3 linked regions of the Drosophila melanogaster genome follow. The protein of the gene in region 1 interacts with the protein of each later gene in a pairwise test. Each region holds a gene or a part of one and is shown on either strand. Other genes may lie near its edges.

Region 1 (3,757 bases):
CAAATGATATGGCGCAAGGCGGTGGGCAGTGGGTGGGTGTTGGGTGGTTGGTGGTCGGTCTGTGAACGGGGGACTGTGTCAACGGCGGTGCTGATTACAGAATAGAATATAGTAGAATATAGAATATATATATAATGTACACATACGCCCCGTGGGGCCTCTCATTAGAATGGCAAAATGTGCACAGTAGTTAATTATGCTTCCTTGGGTTTTTGCAGGAAAACACAGACCTTGTTCTCTACATCGGATAAACATTCTGAGTAAACATATAGTACACATGTCTCAATGGGTGTAATGTTTATAAACTCGAAGTTGACATAGCGAAGTTTATAGTGAGCTCTTCAACTTTTTCCTGTTACCGTTAAAGGTTTTAGACACGAAAATGGCCAGATTGCTAAGAGTATTTGGTAGTATATAGTATAGGGATCGAATAAGGCACATTATAAATGCGTGCTCACGTTTTTTTATTATGGCCGTTTATAATTCCAATTTGCCATTGACGTGGGTTGGCGAAAGGGGTTGCGGGGCGGGGGGTGCTGCCATAGAGAAAGGGTTCGTGGGAAGGGGAAGGTGGGCAGCCTGCAAGCTGCGAAATTAGGGCATCAAAGGCCACCTGACCAATCGAAGGGTATACACACACACATACTCGCACTTATATATATATACATGCGTATATACTTTCAAGCACACACTCTCACTGCAACTGGCGCATGTGTGTGTGTGTGTGTGCGTGCGGCTTGTTTACTGCCAGCACTTGACCTTAAAAAAATAAAAATGTAATTAATTGCTGGCCAGGTATGTAAATGCAGGTGAAAACAAACATTGTGTTGTATTTGTTGTGCCACACAACATACACACACACACACTCGAGCTGCACACTTTGTTGTTATCGAATTTTTGCACAGCGCCAGCCAGCAAACACGAAAAGTTCTCTATCTCATCATTTGCATTTGATTTTTTAATTGACCACCAAGTGTGGCAAAAAAAAACGATATAAAATTCAACACACATTCACACACACCGCACACACGCACACCACACACACGCAAATATGTAAATAAAAACATTAAAGACGTGCTCCGATCGGTTCTTGTTGGAATGACGACGATGGTGATGATGATGCCCCGTTTCCAATTGGAAACGGTTCAACCTTTTGAACCAAGTGTGCGTGGGGGGGTTGGGGGGCGTGTCCGGCTGGTTGGGCCGATAATGGTGCACATTCCGCCACCGATTTTCACCCAATTCGATCCGGATTCGGATTGGGATGGCTCTGTGCTTACTGTAAATGGTATTCCTTCCACGGAGCCAATGGCGAAGCACCGGTCGCCTGCATTGCAAGCGCCGCTCAAAATCTGATGACAATTCATAATTTACACACAGTTGATTATCACATCACAGCGCACGGATATTGGGGTCTTGGTTCTTTGGTTTCTAGCACGAATTTTCCTTGCTTCTTGTAACAAACGACAACAAAGTGACATTACATAAAAATTAGAGTTGGGTTCTTGGCCAGCGCGGCCAATCGAACTATCGATATTAGGGATGGCACGGCATGGGAGGCGAAATATCGCCTGAGTAATTTAAATACGGTTACTCCAATTAACCGAAAAACTGTTTATCATTTAATTAAAATATTATTATTAAAATATTTCATTTTATTTTCAAAAAATAGAGGTGAATATTTTAACCTATTGAAATTATATTTAATTATTCTGCTTCGTCTATATTTAGTATTTTTTCTAATATCCGTTCGATTTGATTCGATTTCGATATCAATTTCGATTGCCAATAAAAACGAAATCGTGGAATATATATCGATTCATGGTATCGATAGGCTGTTTCGATATTCAGGGTTGTGTTGCGAGCATTTTTGCATGTTGAAAACGCCGAAAATTAGTTTTTGGTTTTGTTTATAAAAATAGCTCCGAAATGGCGGCAGGTCCAATTGCTGAACGCAACCAAGGTGGGTTTGACCTCCACTCCACATTTGCACCACTTGGGAGACGCTTTAACCCGCCTTTTCCGTTCCTTCCACAGATGCCACCATCTATGCCGGCGGTCTTGACGACAAGGTGTCGGAAACGCTGCTTTGGGAGCTGTTTGTCCAGGCAGGACCAGTGGGTAAGTCCCGGACACACATGTATAGTGCCTAGCAGCTCCCTAATCGTCATGCTTGCAGTGAACGTACACATGCCCAAGGATCGTGTCACCCAAATGCACCAGGGCTATGGATTCGTCGAGTTCCTCAGCGAGGAAGACGCCGACTATGGAATAAAGATCATGAACATGATCAAGCTTTACGGCAAGCCCATTCGCGTGAACAAGGCGTCGGCGCATCAGAAGAACCTGGACGTCGGCGCCAACATCTTCATTGGCAACCTAGACGTGGAAGTGGACGAGAAGCTGCTGTACGATACGTTCTCCGCCTTCGGCGTTATACTGCAGACGCCGAAGATCATGCGAGACCCAGAGACGGGCAAGTCTAAGAGCTTTGCGTTCATCAACTTTGCCAGCTTCGAGGCCAGCGATGCGGCCATGGACGCCATGAACGGCCAGTACCTGTGCAACCGTCCCATTTCCGTGTCCTATGCCTTCAAGAAGGATCACAAGGGCGAGCGTCACGGTTCGGCTGCGGAGCGCCTGTTGGCCGCCCAGAATCCATCGACCCATGCAGACCGGCCGCATCAATTGTTCGCCGATGCACCGGTGCAAACCATGATGCCCCAGATGCCGGGCCAGATCCCGGCCCAGATGCCGGGCCAGATGATGCCGCCACCCATGATGGCGCCGCCGCCGCCGGTGGTGCCCGTTTCGAATAACAATATGGGCATGCTAGCACCGCCGCCGCCCGTTCCCCAGCCTGCACCGTTCCCAGCTACGATACCGCCGCCTCCGTTGCCACCGATGACCGGCGGACAGCCGCCGCTGCCGCCAGCAATGGGCATTCCGCCGCCGCCTCGCATGATGCAACCAAATGCATGGGCACCGCCCGGCATGCCTGCTCCTCCGCCCAGACCACCGCCCACCAACTGGCGTCCGCCGCCCGTGCCCTTCCCACCCACGCCCTACGCACGGCCCTATCAACCCGACGGCTACCAGTACTAAGTCTAGCGTGTAGTGTATACCAATTTGGACGAGACGAGAAATAAACATCAATAGGATTCATCAATGAAGCCTGCTCTGGGATATGTTAAGATTTCCATTCTTCTTTCTAATATGCATTTAACAACCGGGAAACCACTGGGAGACATTTAGATCATCATTGTATTTCCATTTAGTAGTCGCAATACAATCTTCGAATTCTTACAAGACGAAATTAAATAACTTTGAATAGAATTTTGAAATGAACGAAATGATTTGATATAAATTGACTCTCGATTCTTGATTTTTTTTTAAACGGAACTATTTTCAATAAACATAAAACGTTTACATTAACAAGTCTGTAAGTTTAATTTGAATGGAACATACGAAGAAAGCGATAATTTTTTTTTGTAATTTAACTAAGTATTTTTAAAGGGCTCCCTCTAATTTAATGTCCAATCCTTTGAAGTTATGTATAGAAACTAGCTTGTAGTTCAAAATAAACTGAGGAATGATTTTCCATTTATTGAAATGAAACTAGGATTCTTTTTTAGCATTCCCAAAATGATGCCGTCCCGCTTTTTTTCGAAACACGTTTGTTTTTTGGTCTTGTAATTTGTTTAGCATAAATTTATTAATATGGGAAACATACAAGTACAGTATTTACAATAGTTTT
Region 2 (3,757 bases), on another chromosome or scaffold:
GGAATTTAGGTAAATGTTATTTAAAAATTAAATTTACTAGTCTTTTTTTAAATGGATACGACGTTACTATTTACATATTTCTCTTTTAGGGAGAAATAAATGATTCTCTAGTTTCGCACATAGGATTTTGATTATCTACACTAAATGGTTAACTATTTCTTGTTAAAAATTGAGAGAAAACGAAGTCAAAAGTATTTTTATATTGAATCACATTCATTCCACTAAAAGGCCAAAACAAATATGCTTCATATTACAAACAATCCTTTTACAAAGAAGCTCTTATTCCTTGCTCAAAATGCAATTTTCGTTCCACGTCAATATCCAATTACACCTTAAGAGGCATTCAAGGTCTTCTAGCATCCTGCTGCTTGTGCTTTTCCACGAACATAATTTATATTGTTTTTGTTGACTTTTTGATGACCGACTGTGTGAGCTGGTGAGCGGCGGAATAGAGAAAATGTAACAACTGTGACAAGGGCAGGAAATGCTCCTCTATGCCCATAATACTATACAGATTTGAACCAAAAACACATACATATAAACGCCAACAGCTATGTACATACATATGTATTGTATTGTAGTACCTATGTATGTGGATGGATCATGTATATGTATGTTCGTCTGGGAGTTCTTGTTTTTGTGTGGGGATTCAAAAGGCCTGCCAAAACAGCCAATCAGGAACCAATCAGCGATAAATCAAAGTTTGATTTCATTTTCAGCAACGTTGCTACCTTTTTCGGACTGCTTTTCCTCCGCCGCCAATTACAGAAACATTTTGTTTTCGCCTATCGCGTTAAAACTTTCACATAATTCGCCTAACTTGGCGTTTAAAACATTTAACTTTGGCCAATTCGGCGCAGGCAAAACTTTTTGCCTCACTGGCACGCACACACAAGCACTTTTCGTTTAATTTTTAATGCACTTTTAATTGCGTTTTCTTGTACGGCGCACTTGTACGGTTTGCAGTTTGCATTAATCCACGTCTTACAACATTACCAGATATCTGTGTGTTGTCTAGTTCTTGCTGGTATAAAAAAACCATGCGATTTGGGAATCGAACTTGTGCGATTGGCGAACTTAACGGTACTGAGCCGAACCCACAGCTGTAACGGTAAAGAACGATGTGTGGGCGAGGACGACAACGACGACGATGCTGCTCCTTCGGTGGTAGCTTGACATCTGCTCGGGGTCCTTTCGGGATCCCGTGCTGTCCGACTATCGGTTCGGTTTGAGAGCGGGCGCAATGCAGCAAAACTTGGAGTAGGTTCAAGTTCCGAAGAGAGGGTGAGACTTTATATCGCTGAGACACAGAGAGAAGGGAAGAGAGAGCCGAGAGAGAGTCGTTGTGATGAGACAGATGAGTGACTATCTATACCTCCTGACTGTCAGCTGTTTAACGAATTTAAAAATAGAATTTTTCCAATCCCGATTTTGATCCCTAGACACGGTTTTATTTTTTTCTGACAAATTTTTCTATTTTAATCTTGAATATTAGATCATTCGCGGTTTTTTCGATTATTTTTTATTGAAAGCTTAGCCAGAAAGAAGTGCATCCAATATTTTAAATTAAAAAAAAAAACATTTAATCTCAGCACTTTGGTCACACTAGATGTATAAAATATCTGTATAATCATGTGCACCCTGTGCACGCAATAAAAATTGTAATTGCTATCGATATTTAAAATAATATTGCAAAATCAAACTAAACCTCTTAAGTTACAAAATCGAAGCACATGATATTTTATTAAAATAAAGAAGCAATTCTTCAGTAAGTGAACAGAAAAGATATTTCTTCTAATAAAGAAATTCTTAAATAAAAGAAAATGTTAACGGATTACATAGAATTGCGAATAATTTGTAGAATAAAATACTACCATGACAAAAAGCAAAGAACTTTGATAAGCTCTTATTACAAACTAGAAAGCTCTTCAACCGATTAATACCGATGTTTTTCACGGCGGCGTTATCTCCTCACCCATAGAAAGTTGTTGTTAAAGCAATCGGACTATTGAGCCGGCAGAACAGTTTAATTCTTCGAAAAGATAGGTAGTATACTAGAGTCGGGATCAATTAATATTCCAGACAATTCTCTGGTGAATTCTCAAGAATGCAAGTGTTTTTAGCTTTAGCCCTGCTCGCAGGCTTGGCTTTCTCAGGTGAGTTATAGACGTTAGAATGCTAAAGTGTTTAGCCAAACAAAGAGTAATTGTTTCTGCGTTTGTGTGCGCTTTAAACTAATGCACACATGCATATATTAAAACAATCGAGGTCATCGTTTTAGGATTGAAACTTTAGCTTATCATCATTTTTTTTGCCATGAAGTATATTTAAAAAGTAAAAAGAACATGTTTTTATTAAACTTTTAAATTAGATCAAATAAACGTAAAAGGGCATGTACTGCTATTTTGACCGCAGCTGTATATATACGAAGTATATAAGCAATGGCGTGAGCTTAAACCTCGATGGCTGCCCTTTACCGTTTCTTATTGTCAAGTTCCCGCTCATTTCTCATCTGAATCTCTCCACACTTTCGCCAACGACAATAGCTAATGCCACGAATCCGCCGAAATGGGATCCAAACTACATAGTCAAAGGAACCCTGTACATTCCGTACGCCGAGATTGCGGAACCCTTCTACGCCTGGTATGACAAGAATACGAGGCGATCCCGCATCGATTACTACGGCGGAATGGTGAAGACATACCAACTGGCTGGCGAGGGTCAGTACGGAACCCTGCTGAAGCTGGCACCGATTACCACCAAGACGGAGAACAACAAGCTAACCTGTCTGCAGGTGAATGGCACCGCCGACCAGGCTGTCGATATTCAGAGCATCCTGCCCGATGCGAAACCTTTCAGCCTGGTGGGCACCGAATCCTTTTTGGGCTACACGTGCGACAAGTTCCGCCTGGAGTCGACAATTGGCCAAAAGAAGAACATCTATACGCTGTGGGTGCGGTACAAGAAGTCGCCGCATTATCCCTCCAGCCGAATGCCCATTCCCGTGCGCTACGAGATGAGGGGCTATAACACCCTGCTGGGATCGCACTACGATCATTACTACTTGGACTATGACAGCTACGAGCACGATGATATTCCCAACGAGGTGTTCGAGATCGATGACAGCCTGCAGTGCGTCGGATTCCCCGGACCCGGCACCGGTCACTATGCCACCTTCAATCCCATGCAGGAGTTTATATCCGGAACCGATGAGCATGTGGACAAGGCCTTCCACCATTTCAAGCGCAAGCACGGAGTTGCTTATCACAGCGACACGGAACACGAGCATCGCAAGAACATCTTCCGTCAGAACCTGCGCTACATCCACTCAAAGAACAGGGCCAAACTCACCTACACGCTGGCCGTTAATCACTTGGCCGACAAGACCGAAGAGGAGTTGAAGGCACGACGAGGATACAAATCATCGGGCATTTACAACACCGGCAAACCGTTCCCCTATGATGTGCCCAAGTACAAGGACGAGATTCCCGACCAGTACGACTGGCGGCTATACGGCGCTGTCACTCCGGTGAAAGGTGGGTTCATTCATTCCCTAAGTACTTACTTAGATGAATTTGATAATATTGAATTGCTTAAAACGTAAACTACCCTTAGATCAATCTGTGTGCGGATCGTGCTGGTCATTTGGCACCATTGGTCACCTGGAGGGCGCCTTCTTCCTGAAGAATGGCGGCAATCTGGTCCGGCTTTCCCAGCAGGCGTTGATTGACTGCTCGTGGGCCTATGGCAACAATGG
Region 3 (3,757 bases), on another chromosome or scaffold:
TTTTCTCTCACTACAATTTTTGACATTTTTGATTTGTCACTCACTTCATTGATTAAATTTAATGCTTCAACATTTCGTAAAACTATATGATTTAATTAAGTGTTTAACGGCAATGACTTTTTCAATTAACGGAACTATTGTATTTTTGTCTTCCATTTATTATTCAAGAGTTAAGCACAATGCTCCAATATTTCAAGTATACCATAAACTGAAGGCTCTGACCGATTCGAATTGCATGTGTAAGCAAAGTGCGGGTTTACTTGTCGGGTAACCACTTTATCGAAAACATTATAGGCGAGTTTTGAGGGCCAACAATTTGACAATCATTTTCCGTTGAGCTTTTTCTGTCTGAATCAACTTGCGATATCTTAATGCGTGCTAACTATTGACCATATTTTGACAGGTTTCATATACATAACAGAAGAAATATTTGTTTCAGGAAACGGAGTTATTACGGTTCATTAATGAGTTTGCCAAATCGCCTGTTTTACCAAACGTGGCCAAAGTGTTCTTGGTATACCGATAGAAATTTACAAGGGTTATAATAAAATAAAAAAAAATCTCAAAAACTTTTTAAAAGTGTGCGCGTGGCAGCTTTTGGGGGTTTGTGGGCATTAGAAGGAACGCCGCCAAAGTGTTCTTAGTATAACGATAGCTATGGGCGGTCTGTGGGCGTAAGAGTGGGCGTGGAAAAAATGGATTTGGCAAATGAATATAAATTTACAAGACTGATGAAAATATACAAAAAAATATGCAACAATTTTTCAAAAATGTGGGCGTAGCAGTTTCGGGTTGCTTGAGGTCGTTACAGTGGGTGTGGCAACATGGGACAACAAACTTGCGCTGCGTCCATGTCACTAGAATATGTATGCTGAATCTCAACCTTCTAGCTTTAATAGTTCCTGAGAACTCGACGTTAATACGGACGGACAAGCCTGATCGACTCTGCCAATGGTCTTGATAAAGTATTTGTATATTTTATATGGTCCGAAACGTTTAGTTCAAGATACACTTCGTTACACACTTTTTAATATAGTAACGGAAATAATTAAATAATTTCCTAAACAAAGTCAAAAATATTCAATGCAACAAAACACCTCGCCCTCCATTCACAGAAAAAATCGTGTGAAACACAATCCAGCAAAAATAAATTAATAAATAAAGAATTAGATTAATTCGCATGCCTTGCTCAAACCATCAGCCATCGCCGTTCACCAGAACCCCTTTACTTCAGCTGTTGTTTTACAGCTTTTGCTTGGCTTTGGTTGGCTGCTTTGGCCTAGTTCTTGGTCGTTGCCATGTTTTCAACTCGGTTTTACTTTCAATTCTATGGTTCGAAATTGGCCACTTTACTTTAGACTTTAGAGTAAAGCTATATGTTGGGCATATAAATCGAATTTATCAAGGGCAATTCAGCTGGGTGGTATTAATTCTAAAAGTGATTGAGTGGTCTTCCTTCGATCCCATGCTTGACATGGATTCAAGTCCAAGCCCATGTTGAAGTAGTAAGCATTCTTTAATTTAAGCACCGTAATCCACTATCGAGCGATCCAGAAACCTGCTGCTAAACGAAAATGTAACGAAAAAGGTAACAACATTTCACAATCGCCTTGGTAAATAGTTTCCCAGCCTTCGTTGGCTAGAGGGTGGATATTGTTGTAGTTTCAGAAAACAATAAACAAAGCCCGCTCCCCGCTTGTAGATAGCTTGAAACTGATGGGGAGCTTTGGATGAAATTCTCAGTAAAATGTTGAAATTCACTAAGAATATGGGTCTGGACTACATTTTTCTGATAACTTGTATAACTTGTAAAACGTAGCAAAGCTGCAATGGCGCAAGCGTTAACTTTACTCTTACTTTCAAAAGCTTAAGAGATACAAACGACTCCGCGCGGGTGCAGCAACAACTTGAACAGTCTGTTAATGTAAAGTAACAGTCGGGGCCAAGCGTGGCGCAGACCAAGCTTGGCCCAAAAGCCAGACTTCGAAACTTGGTTGGCTGGCTGCGCTTGCCCAGAGTCTCAAGACACTCGTCCGCACAGTCGCGCTGTATAGTTGTTTCGATTAGGACGTGTGGTTCGCTTAAGCGCACGGTAAGCAGAGACGCTCGAGGGTCACCCGAACTTGTCAGGCGGTCTAAACTGTTTGCAATAAGCCACAATCAATTTTTGGGCTTTCGATTGCTAATTTATTTCGTAAACGCGTCGAAATAAAGTCCACCTCTGACTGGACATTGCAACCAGCCAAAAATTTAACATTTTGTAGAAAGCAGTTTTAACTGCATTTTGCAGTTTAGTCGAAGAGCTCAAGCGTGTGTGTCGGTGGTAAGCTAACTTTGCGTTAAAAAGAAAGTTTACGCTAAATATATATACAAGCTTCGACAAACAAAATAAAAACGTGCAGGTTTTGTTTTATTTTGTTTCGCATTTTCCTCTACGCGCTACAGACTAGTTCATACAGAGTTTTCCAATATGGAGGTGCCCGCGATACCGTACGGGAAATCTAAATCAAACACCGATCTTCGATTTGATCTCTTTGCATTTTTGTCTAGCAATCTTTTCCATGGTAACTACAAAACGAACAGCGGTCATTGCAGTCTCACGTGAAAGAAACTAAAAAACCTAACTAAAAATCGCTTGCCAAAAGCAATGGAGGAAAACTAAGTGTTGTAATCTGTAAACGTGTGTGTTAGCTATGCATCGTCGCGTTGGTTAAAGCCAAACGAAAGCTCGAATAATAGGGGCAGAAACTAAATCTGCTTACAACAATACAAACATGTCCTAACCAAGTGAAGGCACAGCCACAAAGCCGCAGTCGCGGCATAAGCCAGACACACCATTAAGAAAACTGTAACACAAGGCTCAAAAAATCTAAATTGAAAAATTGCGACACTGCCTTCTTAGTTATTTAGCAATTGTTTTCAACAAAACAGAGGTTTTCTCAACGGTAACTGCCTCCGTCATCGGTACGGTGGCTGCTGCTGCTCCCCACTTCCCGCGCTTCCAACCACTATTTTTATCCGAGCTTGCCTATGGTATTTTAAATTCTGTGAACTAACCCCAAAACGAAACTGAACCAACCACATCAAGAAAATTTACAGTTACAGTTACGACGACACGCCATACCTGCAATATGAAGTATTCAACAAGTCGAATAAACATTCTGTGCCTGCTGGGATTGTGCCTACTGCTTTTTAAAACAGGTGAGTAATGCCCACTTCAGTGAAGAACACTCTGCTAGAAATACAAATGGAGGCAAAAACTTAAAAGAGCAAAGGGCTTACACACTTTACCCACTAGTCCTAGAAGAGTTAGCACTTAACCAGATTTTAAGACAACCATGGATAAGTATTCAGTTCATGTATGAACTGAAATCTTTTTTTAAACGTAGATCCGAAAAAGTTTTATTTTTAAGTGAATTGTTTTTACAGTACTATGGATTCTTCTTTTCCTCAATCATATTCGAAACTTCGTGATAGAAATATTATGTTCCGCAAATAAAGCCAAACTTGTTTTGAACACTGTTCCGGCTGCCATGTACGAGCTCGCAATAGTCTAATGTCAAATTCAATCACCGTAGAAGAAGTCAAACCACCAGCTGTTAACCACTTGTGTTGAGCTCTATTGTGGATACTCCGGCTCCGGCTAAACGAGTTTCTTAATATGTCCAAAAATGTATATTTATTTTAATATATATATATATATATATATATTAAGACATTTTACTGCGAAATGTGTTAGGATATATAAAAAGTAAGA

Evidence for each region.
Region 2: the proteins of Spx (region 1) and CtsK1 interact in a two-hybrid assay, tested with the Drosophila melanogaster proteins (one large-scale study listed by BioGRID).
Region 3: the proteins of Spx (region 1) and Cda5 interact in a two-hybrid assay, tested with the Drosophila melanogaster proteins (one large-scale study listed by BioGRID).

The regions. Positions count from the first base shown.
Region 1 is NC_004354.4:6,253,982-6,257,738, forward strand, and holds Spx (spliceosomal protein on the X), read left to right. Parts: upstream 1-1,840; 5' UTR 1,841-1,929; coding exon 1,930-1,963; intron 1,964-2,037; coding exon 2,038-2,121; intron 2,122-2,179; coding exon 2,180-3,105; 3' UTR 3,106-3,615; downstream 3,616-3,757. Other genes in the region: Rbcn-3A (Rabconnectin-3A), read right to left, coding at 1,281-1,367.
Region 2 is NT_037436.4:13,992,245-13,996,001, forward strand, and holds the start of CtsK1 (cathepsin K1), read left to right. Parts: upstream 1-1,986; 5' UTR 1,987-2,107; coding exon 2,108-2,156; intron 2,157-2,546; coding exon 2,547-3,536; intron 3,537-3,615; coding exon 3,616-3,757.
Region 3 is NT_033779.5:57,525-61,281, reverse strand, and holds the start of Cda5 (chitin deacetylase-like 5), read left to right. Parts: upstream 1-2,013; 5' UTR 2,014-2,092; exon of another isoform or gene 2,093-2,323; intron 2,324-2,550; exon of another isoform or gene 2,551-3,033; intron 3,034-3,088; exon of another isoform or gene 3,089-3,099; 5' UTR 3,100-3,131; coding exon 3,132-3,201; intron 3,202-3,757.